Astyanax mexicanus: one gene and its partners. The protein of the gene in region 3 purifies or fractionates together with the protein of the main gene of each other region. This does not show direct contact. Links are inferred from orthologs where the notes say so. Each region holds a gene or a part of one and is shown on either strand. Other genes may lie near its edges. The genes, in order: lamtor3, map3k1 and map2k1.

Region 1 (7,205 bases), on a different chromosome or scaffold from region 3:
TTTTTGCATCTTCACAATACGAAAGACACAATTAACGAACAAATGCTATGCACGACAATCTGTCTTTCATTGACATTTCATGGGATATCAGAACAGTGTGAATTTTCCTCTTGTTCCAAATAGCAAAAACGTTGTGTTTCATTACATTATACACTGTGAACTCTAACTATTCCTACATTGTAATACAGATGCTGAAACAATATTTATTGTGCAGCCCTGATATTAAGTAATCCCAAGGCTAAAATGATTACATTTCTTGCTTTTATAAAGCTTATAAAGTATAGAATTCTTTAAAAGAGCCTGCAAGAACTGAAGAATGTGGAAGGATTTTTGCTTTTGTGGGATGAGCTGGAATAACCCCAATCTGCCATGGCACCACCCTGCAATTCACATGACTTACAGAATAACACTAACATCCTGGTGCCGGATTCCACAGACACCATGAAGTGTCCCAACAGCATATTTGGCATGTGGTCAGAATGTTCTGGTTCATGTGTGTATTGTAGGCTACATAAAACAATGAACAGCCAACAAAGCTCTTGTTTAAGTCACATCTTCATCTTCAGAATTAGAATTTCCTTCACAAGTCATAAGCATTAAAGATCACCTCTGACAGACACTCACCTGTGTTAGCACTACTACTTGCAATGAAGCTGATCACTAAGGGTAATCGGTTAAACTGCACAATCTAAAAACAAACACAAAAAAGAAAACACAAAATTAAAACATCACTAAGCAACCCAGTAACAACTAGCATCTTAAAAACAGATTAAGAACTTCAAATGAAACCCAACGTTAAGTATTTGGAGCAGAATACCTGATATGTGTTATAGTAGCAGATGATGCTCTTGTTTTTGGACAGCCCCAGCTTGCTGCCCTGATCTGTGGCCAGGGCAAAGGTGGAGAGAAAGCCTGGCCGCAGAGCGTACTCCGGAGCATTGTCATTGGCAACTTAAAGGATGAACACCTACAATTATTACAGACCTAATGCAAGCAGCAGTTTGACACTATATTCAGCATTATTAACAAAGCATTATTGAAACTAATTACCTTTGATTACTGGAACTCCATCTCTGTCTGTTACTACTATTGCATGGAGGCCCTCAACCCTGATCAGAAACAAAAAGTTATTGCATACATTATAGTGTACCTGCACTTAAACATGGTGTCATCAAAGTTTTATGGTGGAACAATATTTAGAGACAAACCATTTGCTCATTTTTTTACATTTTCCCCTCAGTTTAGAAGGTATACTTGTAAAAATACTTATAAAGGGAACATTTTATTAACTTAATTAAATGTTATAGGTCTATAAAAAATTTTTCTACCACTAAACTTTAAAATCTCATTAAAAATAGTTTAAAAAAAAACAAATGTTGAGAATCTACATATCATTACTGTCAGACCAAAACTCAATATTAACATCAAATATCTGGAGGAAAAAAATCCTTTCTATAGAATTAACATAATACATTTTTTATATGTATTTTGTAAGTTTATTCCAAGTTTTTGAAAATTAATATTGATCTGTTCATTGGGGGTGTAAGAAAATACTCTATATATTGCAGTATTGTGATATTTTCTAAAACAAAGTATTGAATTTTAATTATTAGTGTAGATACAAAGATTGGTGGCAGACAATGGTTAATTTAGTCTTGTGCTTAAACCCCACCATCTAGATAACAGTACTATAATGTTTTATTAGATTCCACTGTTCTGATTGAATATTAGCAAAAACAAATATATATATATATATATATATATACATATATATATATATATACTTTTTTTATAATATACAATAGCAGTTAGAAGTTTGGACATACCTTCTCAATTAATGTTTTACTTTATTTCTTTTCTTAACTTTTTTTTCCACCTTGTAGATTCATATTAAAACATGCAAACAAATACAGGACACATGTGGAACTATTTAGTAAACAAAAAACTATTCCAGGTGACTCGCCACTGAGATTAAAATACCAAGAGAGTGCAAATCTGTCATATACGTATAAAACATATTCTGCTTTTTTTTTTTTTTTTTTTACTTTATTGTTTGCAAAATATTTCTGCATGTGTTCCTGTGTAGCTTTGATTCGGTCTTTAAACATTTTATTTACAATGTAAAAAAGAAAAAAAAAAGAAAGAAAACACACTGAAGGAGAAAAGGTGTGTCCAAACTTTTGACAGGAGGTGTATTATCTAGTTTACAGTACATCCATTTATTGTATCCCCTGTATTTCCAACTTCTTGCCAAAACACACTCTTATTGTTAATAATGAAATTCGGAAACACCGATTAAACCAACTGTCAGATTCAGATTCATGTCAGAGTGAAAACTTGAGTTTATTTGCGTGACAGTAACGATATTTTAGTTTGTTCAATCTGGAAAAAAACTGTACTCACGTTGGCAATTGCTTGTATAAATATCTCTTCAAATCCTGCAATTATAAATCAGATATGTTAACGTTAACGTTATCTAAATTACTTTACATATAAGAATCCTATGTTTAGTTTAGACCTCAGACACACAGTATCAGATGAGGAACTGATTTTAACACTCACATCTGCCATGATGGAGATTGCTGGCTACCAGTAGCCTTCTCGCGGTGATCCCTGTAACAACACGCTCAGCAGTAACACAACTGTACAGGAATACAGCTTAGCTAACTGATACCACACTGACAGAAAACTGAAATAAAACAAATATCACACAGAGCAGCTCCTGTGGGTTAGACAGCTAATAGCGCTAACTGGAGTTAATTAAGGTATTTAGCTAAGCTAGCTGCTGCTGTGGGCACTTCCCTAACTTTGTTCAGCTCCGCAGTTAGTCGTACAGGTTAATAAATGTTTCTGTATTAAAGTAAATGGTTAAAACGGGTCTGAGAGCTTCACCTTTATTCACACCGATCTGAGGCTCCGTGTCTTGTTTAGAGTTTTAATCACATGACCCAGACTGTGTACACCTTCCTGAGCGTCACTTCCCTTCCTGCGACCTGCCTCTGTTCACTCCGTGAGCTCAGATTTCCCCCTAGTGGATAGTACATATAATAGCGACATAGAGAGTGTGTGAGAGAGAGAGAGAGAGAGAGAGAGGGCTGGAGAGAGAGAGACCGAGAGAGAGAACGGGGAGAGAGGGGGTAGAGCATACCTGTCAAGTTTTAGATTTAAAAATAAGGGATATTTTCCTCTGTCCGCTTAAAGCCGTCCCACCAGCCCAATGAAGGTTCAGTATCTCTTACATTTTAAAACATGTTTACAAAAAATCTAAAATAACCACATGTGAACCACTTACACACTACAATTAGATTATCAGAATCTGAACATGTTGTGGACATTCCTACATATGTCATTCTTTTAATACAGCCAAATTAAAAACCCTTTTCTATATCTTTTTTTATTTAAGATTTCATGTCTTTTTTGTAATAAATGCACTCTTTTATATGATATATTTTTTATTTATTTAATGGATTTAAAATTGAACAAAGAGTGCACAAATTCTGCAAAATGACTGTTGGTGACCTAAAAATGGTATTATGAGCTTTTACTAAAAGGACATGGACCAGATATGTTCCATCAGTAAAAATTAGTCCTAAGGGGCCTACACAATAATTTTTAATTAATACTTCTTCCTTTTGATCACTCCACCCCTGATTAGTTCAGTTAATGTCGGTCCTCTCCACATTTCTAGTTAAACTGAGTCACAAGCTGTAATTTTTTTTATTTTAAAAGGTTTAATCTGTGTGTTTTATTTCGGAGTATTTTTAAGCAGCTATCAGAAAAATCTCATCACAGTTTCCATGATTAGACAACCGTTACCTTTCTTTTAGAAAAATCGCTGCATGTATGTTTTAACATCAGCAGCTCCAACTAGCTGCCTGAACTCACAGCGAGGAGGGCGGGGCTTCCCCACACTGACCCTCCTTGCAAGCTGATTGGCTGTTTCTCCTGAAAGGCGGGACTTTCTCCTTGAACCGGCTCCACGATTGGTTAAGAGACACAGAGCGGCCAGTGCCCTGTATCCTCAATAATATATATTTTTTTATGTTAATGAAATACGGGAAATTTACGGGAAAATACTAATACGGGAGGACGGCGGGAAAGAGGAGTAAAATACGGTAGAGAGGGGGGGAGAGAGAGATAGAATTTATTCTGTTGTGCTGGCATTAAGACAGCTCCCCTTTTCTAAAAATTAAGTGAAATATGACAAATAATGGGCAGACAGATTTATTTTTTTGTAAAAAATTAGAGATAAAACATTATAATAACATAAGGGAAACAATCATAAATAAATGCACATTAATCACATGAGATCTTCATAATATCATGAATTCTCTTATTATAAACCACTCTGGAAGTTTTTAATAGTGAGCCAAAGTTCATTAAGAGGATCAAAATTGGTTATTGTAAAATTTGTATTTCAATCTTCACAGTGGTTTTAGTGGTCGTATTCATTGCGTTTTTGCGTTTTTATGTACCAAAATTGGTCTAACAAATTTTTATACGCTCATTTTACAACTTAAACGCTAACAGAAAAAAAACTCTCCTGCAGAGTTGTTAGAAACTGAATGAAATTTTTAATGTGTAAATGTAATTTTGTAAATTATTTTAATATTAGAGCAAAAGGGTAATTTAATAGTAGGAAACTACAATTGACAGAATGCCCAAGTACCCATCTGGACCGCCTTTACAGATGATACAAAAACAAGTAAGGTTGGATATAGAGGTGTACAGATTCATCAAGAGTCTGACTGTCATCAGATCCTAAACAAAACCTGGATTTGTTGCTAAAGATGGTTCCAGTCTTAAGCAGTCGAGGTCTCCTTTTTTACAAAACAACTGTAAACAAAGGCATTGGTGGCTGGCTAAGCATTGGCCTAAATGGTGGGCATTTAATCTACACAATTATTTTAGTCTAATGATGCATCCCTTCTCAAAGGATATCAGTTGTGCAAAATGTATTTGAATGTGTTACAGAGGCCTTTCTAGCAGTCAGCTATCTCTCACCAAGAGGTACATTACCCAAATGTAGCCACTGAGAACCTTTTTATAGGGCATGGAAGAAAGCAATTTTACACCCTCTTGTCGCAGGGCTCTTTATAGGCTATACATTATTAACAAAGGCACAGAAAGTTTTACTGGATGTGAGCTCTTTAAGACTAATCTGCAACATTTTCTCACACTGTTAAAACCACCACGTCTGTGAAAGACTTGAAAAATTTGTTTAGAGAGTTTAGACTTGTGGTATACTGTTTTGTGTAGCTCTATAGCTGTCAATATTGTTTTGTGGTGTTGTTGTTTGTGATATTCACAGCTATATAGACTATACAGTTTTCTCCATTCAGGCTGGAATCTTGTTGTTCACTCTCTCTCTGCCGATCTGATGTTTTAAGAATGAAAAGCCCTCATGCGAGGATTATGCCTGAAACAATGAGTTCCTTAGTGTTCACAAACCAGGCAAAGCCTAATCCTCCCCTCAACTTCACCTAGCTGACCACAGTCACTCCACCAATATTAACAATGCATAAACCCCCAAAACCTCTGCCTACTTAACATGCCCCCCATGTTCTCTCTCTCTCTCTGTCTCTCTCTGTCTCTCTCTCTCTCTCTCTCTCTCTCTCTCTCTCATATACACAGAGTTTCCTAAACTCTCTCTTTTTGCAAGTGCAGGAGGAAGGGCTGTGCACGGGATAGGCTGCTCTATGCCGCTGTGTGCTGTGTGTTTTAGGCCGGACTCTAGTGAATGTCAGAGGGACACAGAGCTTGTTTTGTGTGGATATGTGTGAGAAAGAAATGGGGCATGAAATGCTAAACTCATCGTCCGAGGCTGTTAACTATGGTGGAAAAAGTGCCTTCTCGCAAACGGAGCACAACATCGTCGCTGGATACCTCATTACTGCATGTAAATAGTAATTATGTAAACCTTTCGTATTTATTTGTGTATTTTCATGTGTGTGTAATATTTCACGTGCAGTGGTTACTAACATTACTTACAATACAATACTTAAAATTTTTCAGACGACAAAACAAACTTTAATATCAGACAAATATAACCTGAGTAAATCTAAAATATTGATTCCATTTATTACCACACAATCCTGAAGGAGAATGTCCGGCCATCTGTTCGTGACCTCAAGCTCAAACGTACTTGGGATCTGCAGCAGGACAATGATCCAAAGTAAACAAACAAGTCCACCTCTAAATGGCTTTCAAAAAAGCAATATGAAGGTTTTGGTGTGGCCTAGTCAAAGTCTGATTAGCATAATCTTAAACAGGCTGTTCATGCTCGAAAATCCTCCGATGTGGCTGATTAAAACAATTCAGTAAAGAAATATGGGCCAAAATTCAGAAAAACTGAAGAAGGACTTATTGCCATTTATCAGTAGAGCCTAATTGCAGTTGTTGCAGCCAAGGGCGCATAACCACGTTATTAGGTTTAGGGGCAAATACTTACTTCACACAGGGCTAGATTAGTTTGGATAGTTTTTTTTTAAATAAATAAAATGATTATTTAAAAAGTGCTTTTATATTTACTCAGGTCATGTTTGTCTGATATTATAGTTTGTTGGGTAATCGGAAAAATATCAGTTTGACCAAAAAGCAAAAACAAAAGAAATCTGTATTACTTTTACTATGTGTTAGAATGAGCAAAAACTGCAAGAAACAGCAACAGAATTAATGTGTGGGGCATTTTTGGGTCTGGTGTACTGTTTTTTATATGTAAGTCTTCTAAATTCTACTGTATATAAATATTTAGAGTCTGTAAGTAGGCTTTTATTTTAGTTTCTTTCTCTCGTCATTTACACTCCTTATTGATCCACTTACAACTTTGCTCAGTCTGGAAGCAGCATAAAGTAACTGATTTGTGTTATTAGTAGCTATTGAATTATTTCTAAATCATTTATAGTTTGTCCAAAGAATATAACAGTTTTTGATAGTCAAAAATATCTACAGATTAATAATGCCATGTCAAAAGTATTGGGATAGCAATAGGTAAATTGATCATGATATGTTACCTCATGGGACAGCCACACCTGTATGAGTGGTGAGGTGTTATCTCATCTGATCATGGCAAGGCGACCTGAATTTTCAAATGAGACCTAATAGTGAGTACCATATAAATCGGACATTCCACTTCTGAAATGATGTGGTCATTTAACATTCCTCGATCCACATACTTTTGTACAAAAAAATGGAGACTTGAATGA
Region 2 (7,494 bases), on a different chromosome or scaffold from region 3:
ACTGTTGAAGGCTACTGAAGACTACTAAAGCAGGCAACGCAGCGTAAGCAAAAAAAAAAAAAAAAAAACACGCACACACACCAAAATACAAGTTAAGATAAAATATGAAAACGAACATAATAAAGCATAAATAATTACATTGAATTGCGGGCCAGATGTATGTTTATTTTGTTAACCCGTGAGGGGCCGTATGAAACCGCGTCGCGGGCCGCATGTGGCCCGCGGGCCGCTACTTTGAGACCCCTGATCTAGACTGTATCGAGATAGATTTTTGATAGTCTGGACAGCAAAAAAAAAAAAACATATTGAATCTTAATTTAAGCAAATCTTAAATCTAAAGGAGGTCTGAAATGTGATTACAATCAGATCTGTACAGATGCGTCTCAGTCTGAATGCTCTGGTTTCTCAAAAAGTACTTGTGAAAACAGTTCAAAAGAAAAATAAGACACTGTTGTATAATTATAGAAAATAGAATCACTGATCCGTGCTGAATATTCGTTTTGAACCCACTCCAGCATTTAATGTAAACTTGCCTACTTCAATTGACGTGATTCCACAAAAGCTCTGAACTCAGCTGAAGTTAAAAGTGGACGGCGCTGAGCTGAAGAGCTGAGGCGAGCTGAGATGACAGAAGAGAGAGCACAAATAGTTTGTGGAGCGTTCCACGTGAGCAGGAAATGCAGGAGCTGCAGAGGAAGCCCTACTGGCTAAGAATAGCTCTCAGTGATAGATTGGATCCACGTTGACAGGAAATGGTTTTTGCTGGCCGCCCAGTACCTAAAGCTCCAATGCAGCTCTTTTTAACTTTACCAGCTCTGGAAAACAAAGTGGAGATGCCTCGCTGGACATTTAAGGATAAAAGTACGCCTGAGAAAAACTGAGACTGAGACTGAAGTGACTGCAGGTGCCAAAATTTTATATTGTCAAAACAATATCTCCAATGTTTGCCAATTTTTCACTTTTTGTCATAACCTGCCAACCTGACATTATTCTTAATGCTGGGTGAAAAAATTATACTGAATGGGTCAAAAGAAATGCTCCAAACAGAGTTGGGCTCAGATTCTTTTACGCTGACTATTCTTGAAAGTTCATATTTTGGAGATACAAGATTATTACATAATGTAAAAAGGGTTTTTAGGAAAAGTAAGTTTGTTATAAAATTTTAATAGATAGTAATATTTCACATAGCACATTTTGGGACAGTTTTCCCAAAAAAAAAGTATTATTCTAAAACCTAGTCTTAGACTACACAGCCATTTCCAGTGGAGATTTACCAGTGAAAGAAAAAGAAAGTCTATGACTAGGTTTTAATCTCTGTGGAAAATAAAAACAATGTAAAAAGCACATTGCAGACAGCTGCTATTATATCCCTGATCATTTCAAATTATAACTTTCTGTTATCTAACTTTTAGAAGCTATGTGGATGGTGTGGTGCAGTGGATAACACCACCCCCTGTCAGTGAGCTACTACATTATGTGGGAGACTGGGGTTCAATTCATATACTGCTCTACACTAATAAGAGTCTTGGGGCAGACTACTAATGCTACATTGACCCACTTCTGTAATAGAAATAACCTTGTAAGTCACACTGGATGACAGCGTCAGCAAAATGCCGTAAATGTAGAAGCATTAAACTCTGCAGACATCTGTGGACAACTTTCTCTATAAAGAGACATTTTACCCCAAACCTCTTAGAATAACTTTGTCTTCATTTGTCATTTAATTCCAAAGAGATTTTAGAAACTGGTATAGTTCCCCTATCAAACTGGCTAAAATCAGATTACTACTAAAATAATATCTTGGCTCATTTTGTTCATATACTGTGCTGGTCCCCTAAGAGAAAACAGAGCTTAATGAATTATCTTTTTATAATAAAACTGTGATACGTAATCCCTCATTTGTCCACTAATAAAATAGGTTAATTCCTTTCAGATGCTAAAATCTGGTTTGTTTCTGGGGCACTAAAGGCCCTTACATAACCTGGAAGACGGAAACAACACAAAAGACAGATTTATTCAGAAGAACATGTAATTTGTAGGTTCACAAAGCCATCACTCTTCCCAGGCCACCGACTGGCCCAGAAAACCGGCACACAATGAACCACACACAGACACACAGCCAATAATTTCTCAGCTGTTATGAGGTAAAAGGAAATAATTAACTATGATGTTATTTTGATATGAAGGCATTAGCTTCACTTTTCAAACAGCCATGATGTGATGTTATGAATTTACCCATATTAGCTTTACCGTCCAATGTCAAGCAGCCACATTCACACCAGTGAGAGCTAGCTTAAAGGGTTTTAAAAGTAGGATTTTTTATAGATACAGATAAATCCATAATAAAAGTCACACAAACCTATTTCAAATTACATGCAAAGATTATATAGCATATTTTGTTAATAGATTTTACTTCTAAATCTTCTTTAATAACCCAAACCAGATAGCAACATTTTATTGAATGACATTTTTTCATTTCTAACATGAAAACAATGTTGATCTCCGACATCAGAATTTAATTATTATAATACATTAATTTGATGTTGACTTCAATTTGATTAAATTTAATATTATTTGTGTTAAACTTTACTTACATTAAATTAAAAGGAAATTGTTTTTGCTGGCCGCCCAGTAACACAAGCTCCAATGCAGCTCTTTTTAACTTTTTTCTTAAGTGAAGATGCCTTGCTGGAGGCATTTGTGAATAAAAGTTTGGCAGAGAGAAACTTATAGTGTAACACAAACCTGAGATTCAATTCACTGCAGGTGCCATGATTTGATATACAATTTTTATCAATTTTTGCCAATCTGACGTTATTCTTAGTGCTGTGTAAAAACTTCTTAAAAAATAAGTATTGTTTAATTTAGTATTGTTTGTATGAAACTTAACTCACATTAAATATATACTGCATATCTTCTTTGTATTATATTCTTATGGCCTTAACTGTGTTCTTGTAATGGAGATTTAAGTGTAGAAAAGGCCCAAACAATGAAAACCTTTTAGATGAACATTAATTACTCAACAATATAAATAAACTGTAAGTGAAATATTTGAGTGAAATAAAGGAGCTGGTGAATTTAAAGGCAGTGCTGCTAACTATTCAGTAGTGTTAAGTCAATGACAGTCCCCGTGTTGAATGAACGCTCCGCGTGAGAATGTGATAGTTCTCACGCTGATCCGACTCTGAACGAATCTTTTTAAACGATTCTTTTACCTAAATCAGTCGAACTAACTCCCAAATCAAGCAAACTTTAACCATAACATACACACAAGTCCTGTTCTATACGAAAAGCTTAAAATAATTCTTCAACAAAAAGCATTAATCACTTCAAAAACTTACAAAAATATCTAAATAATGATATACAACCCCATACACCAAAAAGACATTTTTAAATTATATCATATGACAAAATATTCATATATTAAACTTTTATCAGCAGCTTTTGCATAATTATTTTTATTTTTTATTTTTGGGGTATAACATCCACATTGTCTTATATGTTACACTACACTAGTTTTATTGCATTTTAAATGAAGATCACATGGTATCTACAGTATATAGTGTAGTTAGACAATAATACTAAAATTGGAAAACATGTTTGTTTAAAAGTTAATAAATAAAACAGAAGTCAATAGTGGTGGTACATTTAATGTTTTTTTTTATAGAATGATAGTTTTTATGTATTGCTTTGTAAATTGTAATTGAGTCAAAAAATAATAATAATCAAAAAACATAATCAAAAAGTAGTCATCAAAAATTGACTTTAATAATAATAATTATTATTATTATTATTATTATTATTATTATTGTTGTTATTATTAATATGGTTTGTTTGTTTGTTTAAAGTAGAAATCCGGTGTGAAATGGACTTGGGGTGTAGTGAAATGTGATAACGAATACTATTTTTAAATTTTTTTTTGGCCCGCCACCACCCCTCTCACTTTATTTCACTCTGCAACAATGCATTATTCTTAAGGGAGGACATATATTAATATAGAGAGAGAAGGAAAAAGGGAGAAAAAAAATCAATAGCCCTCCTTCGTCACCCACAGCATTTCCAACAGCCTTACAATGATAGTGATAGGGACACGGTTTCCGTGGAAAAGTACAAAATAATAAAAGTATATATATAAATAAAATTTAAAAAGCTAGTTGCAGCCTTGCAAATAGTAACAAGTCTTTTCAGAGTCTTTTCAAAGCCATATAGTGTATGGTCAGCATTAGAAGTTTACTTTGTAAACTGGGCAATTGTTGGGAATCGGTTCGTTAAATATAAGTGAACCTGCTCCTGTCAGTTTAGTTGCAGGTGAGTTGGAGTGATTCGATTCACTCTGAGGAGTCGGTTCGCTCGGATGAATCGAACTCTCCATCACTATGTAAACAGAGCGGAGTGCCTGCCCTCGCTCCGCCCCGCTTCCCGCGTGCCCCCCCTCCCCTCTCTCCACTCACTCACCACACAAACCTATTAAGTGGCAAAATTCAGCACAGAAAATGGCGACGGCGGGGAGCCGGACCTCGTCGTCAGGACCGTTGGACTCGAGCGGCGGTTTAGACGCGGGGAACTCTCCGCGTGGAAGCTCCAGCGTGCCCGGTCTCCCGAGCGGTGCCGCCGGCAAGGCGAAGCGAAGCGCGGCGGAGAGTTCGCAATGGAGACGTAAAGAACTGCGGAAAGTGCGGAGCGTGGATCTGGACGGGTCCGAGTCGCTGCTGCTGGCTTCCGAGAGCGGGGCAGCTCCCTCAGCCGCGGCGGCGCAGCTCCACTTCTTATCCGCGTCCTCTCCCGGCGCAGTGCAGGCGACTCTCCTGCAGCAGAGCCACCGCGTCCAGCACAGCAGCAGCAGCTCCCTGACTGAACACCCGCTCCTCGATAAGCAGAGCAGCGGCGGCAGTCTGGCCGCAGCCGCGCAGGAATTGCTTAAAACTTCTTTCAGAAGCAGCAGCGACCAACTCTGCGCTGATAATGCTGCAGCCGGAGCTCCAGGAGAACTGAACCAGCAGAGGTAAGAAAGATTCAAGGCTGATAATGAGCATTTTTGGGGCTGATAAGGAGATTTTTTACTCCAGTACTGTCTCTCTGCCGCTGCGATTCACCTGGATAATGTGTCTGTAAAACTTGTATAAACTGTAAAGTAGCTCTAAGAAGTTCTCAGAAACTCCAGCTCGTTGTTCTACTGAAGTCAGACTCTGAGTTCGAAACTGGGGCTGAACAATCTGTATGATATGTGATCGATATTAGTCCTGTCACGATAAGATTATTATGTGGACGATATATCGTCCCAGAAACTTTTGCCTTATTTTATATATTTGCCATTTAAGAACATTTAATACTGCAGACATAACCATAAATCAAAATTTAAAGCAATTACACACTTTTTCTAAGTTGGCAGAAATTAAATTAATTATAGTTTATTAAAAATGCAGCTCTGGAAAAAATGGAAAAGAGACCACTTTAGTTTGGCTTGTGATCATCCATCTTCTTCTTAATTCCTTTTCAATTTGGTAAAATCAAAGAAACTTATGATTTAAGTTGTCTCTTATTTTTCTCCAGACCTGTATATACTTTTTTTCTTCACCTTCTGCAGCCTGCCCACACTGTGTGTATGGAGTTGTAGTTATGGAAGCATTGGTCTTGTATATCATGCCTGTCTAAAATACTGTTCATTTTATATATGTGAACAAACATACAAATAAACAGCTAAATAAACATATGTTAATTTCCATTTGTTGTACAATAAGTCGATAATGTACTTATCGTGGCAGGCCTAGACGATATTGATCTTTCATCACTGTGTACTTTTCTGAGCATCCTGTAGATATAGCTGTGATATAAGTGTTGGTACAGAGTTTTAATTACAAATCCTCTCTTATTGCACCGTGATTTGGGGTGTGTGATGTATCACCCTAAACTAATATCACAATATTTCTGTTTTTGTGATAACAATATTTTTTGATACTACAAAATACTACTCCAACAAAATAAATGTATATAAATAAATGCATAAATAAATTTTAACATAAAAATAATGTAATGTAGCCAAAAAACTGTACCAAAATACTAAGTGCAGTTATACAAAAAGTACCCTTTAAGCTTAACAGTCAATAAAAGACTGCTTGAATTACAATATTGACAAACTATCATCAGTGTTTGTCAGATCAGTACTGTTTAATTGGTTTGGGTACAGCACGTTTTGATTTAGGATAACAATTTTCAAAAGCAGTTGCTGAGAATCTGCCTCATGTATTTTTGTCTGTGTCAAAATATCACAGCAAATATTGTGATTATAATATTCATATTTATCTAGCTGCATCTCATTTGTTTTTATGTTCGGTTTGATGCTCATCCAAAGTGTCCTATTAATTATTAATCCATAGCATAATTTATTGCAGAACTAATGCTGTTTTCCCATCATATGAAATTAGACCTATTTATTAGAATACTACTCATATGCATATTATGGAGCATTATTGATCTGCATTTCTTTTACATATTGTATTTGCTGCATGGGTTGTATTGACGTGGTTGGGTGTTATACTTTTCTCTTTTTCAGTTTTTATTTTGTACCATAAAACTGGGTTGTTTTTTGCTGAGCATCCTGCTCCAATCAGAATCACTAAATCCGTGTCGCCCACCTGCTGAGGTGGGCCCCCAGATGTTATCAGCTTAGTAGAGTTGCGCAGTTTTTGATGTGAGGGGTGAACAGCTTTAAATCTTTCTGATCTGTCTCCCAATATTAAACCACAAAGATGAGGATAATATCATCCAAACATGCATTTATGTGTTTAAGCATTAAAAGCCTTTAATTTATCAGACTGGACGGCTTTGATTTACATTAGCAGCGATTTCGGTGTTTCGTGGTTCAGCTTTGGTAGGCACTCCAATGTTGCATTTAATTCAGGAATCGTTTTACTGCTGTAAGTATAGGCCTGTGTATTACTCTGTCGTGGCTGGAGGTCTGCTTTTTACGTCCATTAAGTTACATTGAATATGATAAATATATATTGCCCTATTAGAATTGCCCAGGTGATCCAGCAGGAGTGCTTAAGACAATATTAACTCTGGCACAGCCTACACAATGGCTCTTAAACTAAACCCAACACTTCTCCAGACCATGTGTATATGTACTCTGTCACTTTTCCCATAAACAAACTTGCCTTAATATGACCTTGGGTTGTTTCCTAGACAGGAATTGAACCTAGTCCTGGACCACATATCTATTTTAATAAAGAATATTCTCATTCACAATGCCAAGCCATAAAAAAAGCCACAAAAATGAGATTTGTGGTTTGATCAGTGTTTTTTTTCCCCCCATCTTTAATTGTTATCCACTTCAGCACAACACAAAGTGATGCAGGCACCTTATTTTCACTGTTGGGAGCTTGTTTACTCAAGGTTGCCTAAATGATTGCCCCCCTGCTGGCTTTTTCCCTTAAAAGGAAAAGCTGATGGTAAACATTGATGAAGTGGAGCTCAGAGATCTGGAAGTGCCCTCAT
Region 3 (7,975 bases):
TATTGGGATGCGGATTTAATTTTCCAGCAGTAGTTAGCACACCTCCCACACTGCCAAAAGTACTCATCCTGTGCAACAGAGGTAACTCCTGGCTTTTTTTTTTGATGCATTGCTGACACAGATGTGCAAACACACATGTATCAGTGAAAAGGAGCGGTGCATTTGGGTGCACTTTGAGAACTAGTGGACACAGATATCTGATTTTCAAGTAAATATCACTACCCAGACTATCACTAAAATAGTATATGTATATAAAACAATATTAGCTATAGTATTGAAAGAATGACCTCTGTAAACGTACCTCAGAATGTATTACAGTCATTTACCCACCATGGGCAATACAGGTAGGGGCTTTATATTCCCTGTTTTCGAACTACACAAAGCTGATACACTAGCCTTGTAAGAAGAGATATCAAGTCAAAATTCAACCCACAGAGATCACTGATGCAATATCAAATGCTGTGCTAAAACCAATAAAATGTAGCTATGTAGCGTTACATAAAGGTTCTTTGCATTCAACAGTACAATAAATATATAATTGAATCTCAACCACCTAGGGATGTATGATCATGTCTAAATGATATCAATCATTATCAACAAACACATTTTCAAAAATGTATCTGCATCTCTATTTTATAAATATTTATGCATCAGAATCAATTAGTATCTGCACTAGCACCTGTGTGTCAAAGTGTGTATAGGAGAAGCATAATCCTTCTTAAGCCACATTGTTTCTGCACTTATTGACTATGAAAATCTTTTTTGCATGCAATGATTGACACTTAAAGGGAAAATCAGAATAAAAAGTAGGCCTAGTGATGCTTCTGTATTGATTTTTTTCCTCTATGCTACAGTAGAAATCACCCAGTAATCTGTAAACCACCTCTCAAATAAGGGGGTTATTATTTATTTACATACACTGATCAAGCATAACTTTAACACCACCTGTCTAATACTGTGTAGGTCATGCTTCTGGCACCAGAACACCTATGACCAGTAAAGGACTCCACAAGGCCTATGAGGATGTCCTGTGGTATCTGGTACCCAGATATTAGCAGGAGATCATTTAAATCCAGTTTAAATCCAGCTGCAAGGTTAGACCTCCATAGATCACATCAGTCTTATGCAATCAAGACTCTGTTACCAGTTCATTGAATGACCTTCCTATAAGCACTTGTCTGTACTGTTGTGGAAATACTCTTGCCCATCCATCTGGCCATCATAATTTCCATCTTGTCAAGGTTGCTGAGATACTTCAATTTCAAGAACTGATGGTTCACTTGCTATCTAATACAGGGTTTCTCAACCTGTGGGCAGAGGACAACCAGTGGGCTATGAAACACTCTCTAGTGGCCTGCAGGTCTATACTCAGGGGGAGACAGTAGTTCTTAGTAAGCCAGTGACAGCAATTTTAATCATAAAAAGTATTTTTTGGATAAAATCATTTAGTATACATATAAAACCAAGAGCCATAAGGAACATTAAACATCATTAATTTGAGGCAGTGTGTGAACCTGATTTAGACATGATTTTTTTTTTTACATGATAAAAAATATGTTTTCTTGTGTGTCGTTATGCCATAACATTATTACCAGATAGTCCACTCTTAGAAAAGGTCTAATATAAACTGATATGCCAAATATCATGGCATACCAGTATGTAAATTGATCACAATGTGTTACCTCATTTAGCAGCTTGGGAACACCTACACCTGTATAAGTTGTGAGGTGTTATCTGAGAAGTAAAGTTAAACCCCGCCAGCATGCTCATGGCAAGGTGATGTGAATTATATATTCACATCTGAGGGAACTCTGATAACGATGTGTGTACCAGGAATATGTCATAAGAGGCATTCTCACCCACAGTGGACAGCGCAGTGGTGGTAATGATTGTGACCCGCAGTGTCTGGCTATAATTTTCCAAGTGAACAACTAAGGCTAACATCCATCACATCCACATTCAATGCAGGAGGCTGAATACATACAGTATATTCCATACATCCGTGCAGCATTCTTTAGTTCCTACTGAACATGACAAAACACATGGAACACAGCATTTGTTCCTGTCCCATGACATATGGTTCATCTTTTGTAAGGTGCCACTGTAAGCAGATAATCATATAATTGTATTCACTTCACCAGTCAGTGCTTTTAACGTTATTAAGCCTATTAGTCTATCTGCAAATGCAGATCCTGATACCTTAATTGACCTTTCAATTGAACAACATAACCATGGCATTTGATTGGTCAGTGTCCAAATACAGATAAATGAGGATAAAGCATTGTTGGGCTGCTTTGAGGAAACAATGAGTAAAAAGGCCTATTATCTATTCTTCCACTTAACATGTGATGAATAAATGCAAGCAAATGCTGTGCCATACTGCCAACGTGCGTGCCAGGGCCTTGCACATCCATAAAAAAAGCTTCATTATGCACATCTGCTGCACAAACCTGCCTGCACAACACCGCCAATGCAGAAACACTGATCCAATCCTGAACTTCCTTTAAAACATCGCTCACTCAGACAAGAACAAGAGCTACCTTTCATAAAACACAGGCTCATATTAGTCTATAAACAACATGTGTTTGCTCACATGATGCATCATTAATCTGACAGCATCTCATTTGTATAAGATCAGATGCATCTCAGTGGGATAGTGCTTGTGTCTGTCTATGCAAATCCAGCAATTATCCAACTCTGCTCCCAGTGGCACCATGCGGTGGGGGGTTCTCACAATCTGCTGAGTAAACCTTTCTCCTCTGTAGGACTGTCCAGCAACTTTTAACTGATATATTAAACTTGCACCAGTACTGACACTGCAGTGATATAGTGTTGCTTTATGTGAATCATTTCAGACAGCTAGCATCTCTTTTAGGCCTACCATCATATGTGAACAGAGTTTTTCAGTGATTAATGACTTTGAGCTGGCATTTATAAGAAATGCCGTTCCACATGACACCCGCAGAAGTTGTATGAAACCATCGCACAGGTGATCCAACTACTTAGTGGGTCCCGTCGGTAGGAGTCATGTTTGTGTATGTGACTGCCATAGACATCAGTACATTTAACTCACCACTGATGCCATCACAGGATTGTCACACAAGCAGCTGCCTTTTGCTGCTTTAAGCAGGAATCGAACCCACAACCTACTGGTTCAGAGTCCCCAGCCTTACACACTATGCCACCAGAAACATGTGAGAGAAGCACCAGTAGAACAGCAGGCCATTAAACACCCTATTAACACATACTTAAGTATGTAGAGATGGAATTCTCATTAGCATCAATGAAGAGATATTTATTATACAGTAAATGCCTTCTTTAAAATACTTCTGAAATGATAGATACAAACTCTGTAAGCTGATAGGTGTGACCTGGTATAGATAGTTAAATATAATTATTTGTGTAATTTGTCCCAAACATTAAAGGAATGGTTCACAAAGAAATCTAATTTACATAACTTTCTGTTTATAGTACCAGTCAAAAGTTTAGATACGCCTTCTCTCTCAAAGTTTTGCTTTATTTCTGTTTTTTTTTTGTTGTTTTTGTTTTTTTCTACATTGTAGATTAGAATTAAATGCAGGACAATAATTAAGGGACACAAATAAAGTTACACAGTTAAGAAAAAAGTGTTTGGCCTCCACAATCCTCTGATCTAAACCAACTGAGATGGGAGATTTAGTTGAGCTGGACCACAGTGTGAGACAAAAACAGCAGAATCTAAAGTACAGAACATTCTCTGGTTTGTTTTCCATGTTTTTGTGTTTTAAGTTACTGTATAGCTTTAATTTCTTTAATATGAGATTTAAAATGTAAAAAAAAAAAATAAGAAAACACATTAAATGAGAAGAATTGTGTTTAAATTTTTGACTGAAACTGTACATCATAGTTAATCAGCCATAAGGTGTATGAAGATTGCTTCTTTATACAACATTCTTCTTATTTTTTCATCACTGGAACATCATTTAGGTCTAAAATGATTAAAATGTGCAGGATGTTTTTGGGGAAAATTGCCCAAAATGATTTTTTATTTATACATAAATTATACATGTGATGCAAATCACAATAAAGTCTCCTGTAATTGTATATTTTTTACTGGACTTTACATTACTATTGAAATCCTTTAGAACTACTAAGAATAAGAAATGTCTAAAAACTGTAATATTTTCTGAGGAGCTTTTTAAAGTTTTTTTAGTTCTTTATCTTTAGGATTCTTTCTTTCTTTCTTTTTTCTTTCTTTCTTTCTTTCTTTCTTTTCTCTCTAATGCACATTTTCATGCTGTATTCTATTGTGGTTTCTTTGTATTAACTTGAAACTGTAAAGAATATTAATCCTTTCAGACACTGCATCAATTGCAATGGACATGGTGTGCTTTCTTTTTTCTTGTGTATTCTATTATCCTATTAATCTTCAGGATATACATTTATTAGCCAATCAAACAGCAGACTGCATTGGAATACTAAAATTCTGCCAACTGAAGTAAAGCAGGGTAGCATCCCAGCTAACGTGGCAGAGAAAACACAGTTGCTGCAATTTTTTACAGTTTAGAAATATACACACATCCACAATATCTACACACATTTGAATATATATATATATATATATATATATATATATATATATATATATATATATAAACGATATATATATATATATATATATATATAAACGATATAAAATACAAATATTATGTTTGATACATATTATATATTAGTTTATTATTTAGTGTATTGTTATTTTTAATTGAATCCTGTTTTTGAGTGCATAGCATTCTTTTATTTTTTTATCACTAGGTCTAAAAGGGTTAAAAAAAACCCAAAAGTTAAAAAGGAGATATTTGTGCTAGTTTTTTCTTCCAGCAGGTGGAGACATTGCCCAGCATTAAGCCACGCTCTCCGGAAGACAGATGTAAATATTTTCGTGACGCAACCAGCCCATCTCCACAGTCATATATCCACCCATATCAGTGCGGTATTGGTGTATATTGTGTTTCTGTCTGTACAGGGGGCTGAGCAGTGCTGTGCTAGTCGCCGAGGAGAGCGCGTGCCTGTTTTAATAGTCTACTTTATTTATCTCGTGTTGTCGTGTTTGTGTGCATTTTTCTCAGACAGCCACTGGGTGTGATTAGCTGTATATATACCCTATGCATCAGACCGCTCTCTCTACAGCAGCACGCGGGTATTTCTGCGGATCAGCCTTCTTCCCTTGATTTATTTCTGATTGCTAAACTGCAAGACATCAAGAGTCGTAATGCAGAAACGAAGGAAGCCAGAACCGATCCAGCTCAACCCAATTCCTGATGGGAACGCCGTTAACGGAACCGGTGCCTCGGAGTGAGTATGGTCTGGTCTGGTTCAGAAGCTTAACCCTAACAGGAAAACCAACTAAATGATGCTCCTTCAGTAAGATACATGGTTTAATACTATAATTACTGGGGATGACACTGGCTGATCATCAGGCTGTGTTATACAATACAGTGGTATTCTGTGTAGTGGAAAAGGAACAATACTGTTTCATACTCTTCTGTTTTGATCATAGGCTCATATTGTTTTTCTCTTTTTAAAAAAGTTATAAAAGGTTTTATAATAATGCTTATTTCCTCTGAGAAAGTGTAAATACAGTGTATATTTAAAAGCCTTGCAAGCTAGACAGCTAGGCTTTAAGGACACTAGGACAGTGTTATGAAAACACTTTCATTGTTATATTCTTTTACTAAAAGGCCTGCCAATGCAGTACTGTTTTAGACTGTGTACCTGGCACTTTAAAAATGACAATTTAAAAATGGTGCATCAAACTGCAGTAAACAAACGAGACAACATAAGCAATGGGTATTTTAAAGTGAATTAATGAAAGTTCAGGTTAGCTCAGAGTTAGAGTATCAGAAATGCTTGTTGGCACACAAATAGGAACTATTTCTTTCTTTGTTCATGTGTTTACAATGACAGCCACACATAATTGCATCAGTATTTACAGACACTTTCAAAATACACAGTAGTTATTGTGATACTCATAATTGCAGACAATGACTAAAAATCAGTAATTGCAGAATCTTAAAAAAAACATGATTTTAAATTTTCTCAAATGCGTTTTACAACCACTAAGGATATCCTCAATATACTCTATATTGTGAAAGTACATAATGTATAAGGATAAAAAGAAAGAATACACACAACTTGGTGACTGTCTGGCAAATAAAACTAGGAGTGAATAGGAGAAAGGGATGAGAAACAAACAACAAATAAACAAGTGCTTCCGTTCTGTTGGATATGATATATGGTGAAACCCTAGGAGTGAAATAATAGTAAGACGAAGAATAAAACTGTAAATAAGGTTATATATACAGATAATATATACAGTGTTGAACCAATGCACACAGTGCTCATTCATGTCCAAATAGACTTAAGAGCAAATTGATTGGGAATAAGTTGTTGTTGTTGCATAATTTTACTAAGAATCAGATGACATCCCTAAAAACAGAAGGGGGAGGTTTGCTCTCCACACAGAGAGCCCTTATCACAGTGGGCCAGAGTGGCCAACACACAGTAATGATTCCTCCATCAAATAACCTGTCCAGTCTTTCTCGCCCCCTCACAGCCATAAGTTAGGTAAACAGATTTTGTTTCTAGTTGTTTCCATGTGAGCGTGACTGTGTGTAGTGATAGGAAAGCACGGCTCAATCTATCATTAGGTAATATGAGGGCAGAGGATGTCCAGAACCTTAGGAACCCAAGTCTTAAGAACTCCGGGAACAAATGGAGAGGCTGATCGGTTTTGACAGCATGCTCCACTTCTTGAAGCTTGAGTGCAATCGTCTCATTTCACGTTGTTAAGCAATCACGGTGGATCATTTACAGCAGCAGCAGCTATCACCATTAACAAACAAAGCCCTGCTCCCAGTGCCCGGTGCTGGCCTCTTTGTTTAGAGGCTGTCTGGAGATGCTGAGGGCTGCCGTGTCTGTCTGCAGCTTCATGTGGCAGGCCTGTGGTCCTGTTCCTCTCTCTCTCTCTCTGAGCCAAGAGCCAATCACAGCGCTGGCGGCCTGGACTCAGTGGTCCGTGTCATTGCCTCTTGTTTCACCGGCGCTCCGGGGCCCAGACACTTCTCTTTCACTCTTATGCTTTGGCCTTGAGAGACCATTACTGATTCAGAGGTGCGGGAAGAGGTACAGAGGCGTTCTATTTTACACATGGCACTGCATTGATTCAAGCCTCTTTTCAAAGTGTTGGAAATGATTGTGTAGGAGGACATAATGTTTCAGCTGACTTTATTTTCTCCTACTGCAGTACAGTATGTTCACAGATTGTAGACTAGTGGTTACAGGTTACACAATCAGGTTATGCCAGTTCTTTTGGCAACTCAAAATATATTTAGTGAAAGTTTTGCACAATTCAGTTATAAAGACGTCATCATATGAGCCATTCAGAGAGGTAGATTATATACTTTATCCTTTTCCACACTCTTCTTCAGTGGTCAGGACCCAGTCCCACAGGACCACCACAAAGCAGTGGTCATTTGGGTGGTGGGTCATTCTTAGCACTGTAGTGACACTGACATGGTGCTGGTATGAGTGGATAAGGCACAGTTGTGCTGCTGGGCTGAAAATAGTCAATATTCCACAAATATCCAACCAAGAGTGTCTTGTGGGCCGTTAAGAAGGACTGTTTTTACACAGTGATAAAAACTTCCAGCAGCACTGACGGTGCTGAACTGCTCTTCTACTATAACAACAGACTGCTTGGGTTGCCTACAGAGCTATAAGTCTAATAGTAAAAAAGCTTTATTTATTTATATGATATATCAGGTTCTTAAAGAGCTCTTCCCCTTGTAACTCAGTGGAAGGGGTCCAATTAGAAAAGGGATTGGGCCAAAGGGTTTGCTCTTCTCTGTACCTGAGGAACACTGTCTAAGTTCAAAATCCCCAAAGAGACAACACACTTTCTGCTGGCTTTAAGTGAAGTATTAGCATCTTTATATGA

Evidence for each region.
Region 1: the proteins of map2k1 (region 3) and lamtor3 purify together in Homo sapiens (affinity purification with western blotting; 3 studies listed by BioGRID, with this or other methods). This does not show direct contact. The link is inferred for Astyanax mexicanus from reciprocal best matches to the Homo sapiens genes MAP2K1 and LAMTOR3.
Region 2: the proteins of map2k1 (region 3) and map3k1 purify together in Homo sapiens (affinity purification with western blotting; 3 studies listed by BioGRID and IntAct, with this or other methods). This does not show direct contact. The link is inferred for Astyanax mexicanus from reciprocal best matches to the Homo sapiens genes MAP2K1 and MAP3K1.

Annotation. Positions count from the first base shown.
Region 1 is NC_064414.1:25,420,799-25,428,003, forward strand, and holds the start of lamtor3 (ragulator complex protein LAMTOR3), read right to left. Parts: upstream 3,029-7,205; 5' UTR 2,893-3,028; intron 2,614-2,892; 5' UTR 2,572-2,613; coding exon 2,563-2,571; intron 2,439-2,562; coding exon 2,404-2,438; intron 1,110-2,403; coding exon 1,051-1,109; intron 952-1,050; coding exon 818-951; intron 689-817; coding exon 625-688; intron 1-624. Other genes in the region: rrh (visual pigment-like receptor peropsin), read left to right, coding at 5,776-5,899. UniProt on the Homo sapiens protein: As part of the Ragulator complex it is involved in amino acid sensing and activation of mTORC1, a signaling complex promoting cell growth in response to growth factors, energy levels, and amino acids.
Region 2 is NC_064427.1:27,155,981-27,163,474, reverse strand, and holds the start of map3k1 (mitogen-activated protein kinase kinase kinase 1), read left to right. Parts: upstream 1-4,449; 5' UTR 4,450-4,493; coding exon 4,494-5,002; intron 5,003-7,494. UniProt on the Homo sapiens protein: Component of a protein kinase signal transduction cascade. Activates the ERK and JNK kinase pathways by phosphorylation of MAP2K1 and MAP2K4. May phosphorylate the MAPK8/JNK1 kinase.
Region 3 is NC_064416.1:23,842,423-23,850,397, forward strand, and holds the start of map2k1 (dual specificity mitogen-activated protein kinase kinase 1), read left to right. Parts: upstream 1-4,946; 5' UTR 4,947-5,248; coding exon 5,249-5,331; intron 5,332-7,975. UniProt on the Homo sapiens protein: Dual specificity protein kinase which acts as an essential component of the MAP kinase signal transduction pathway.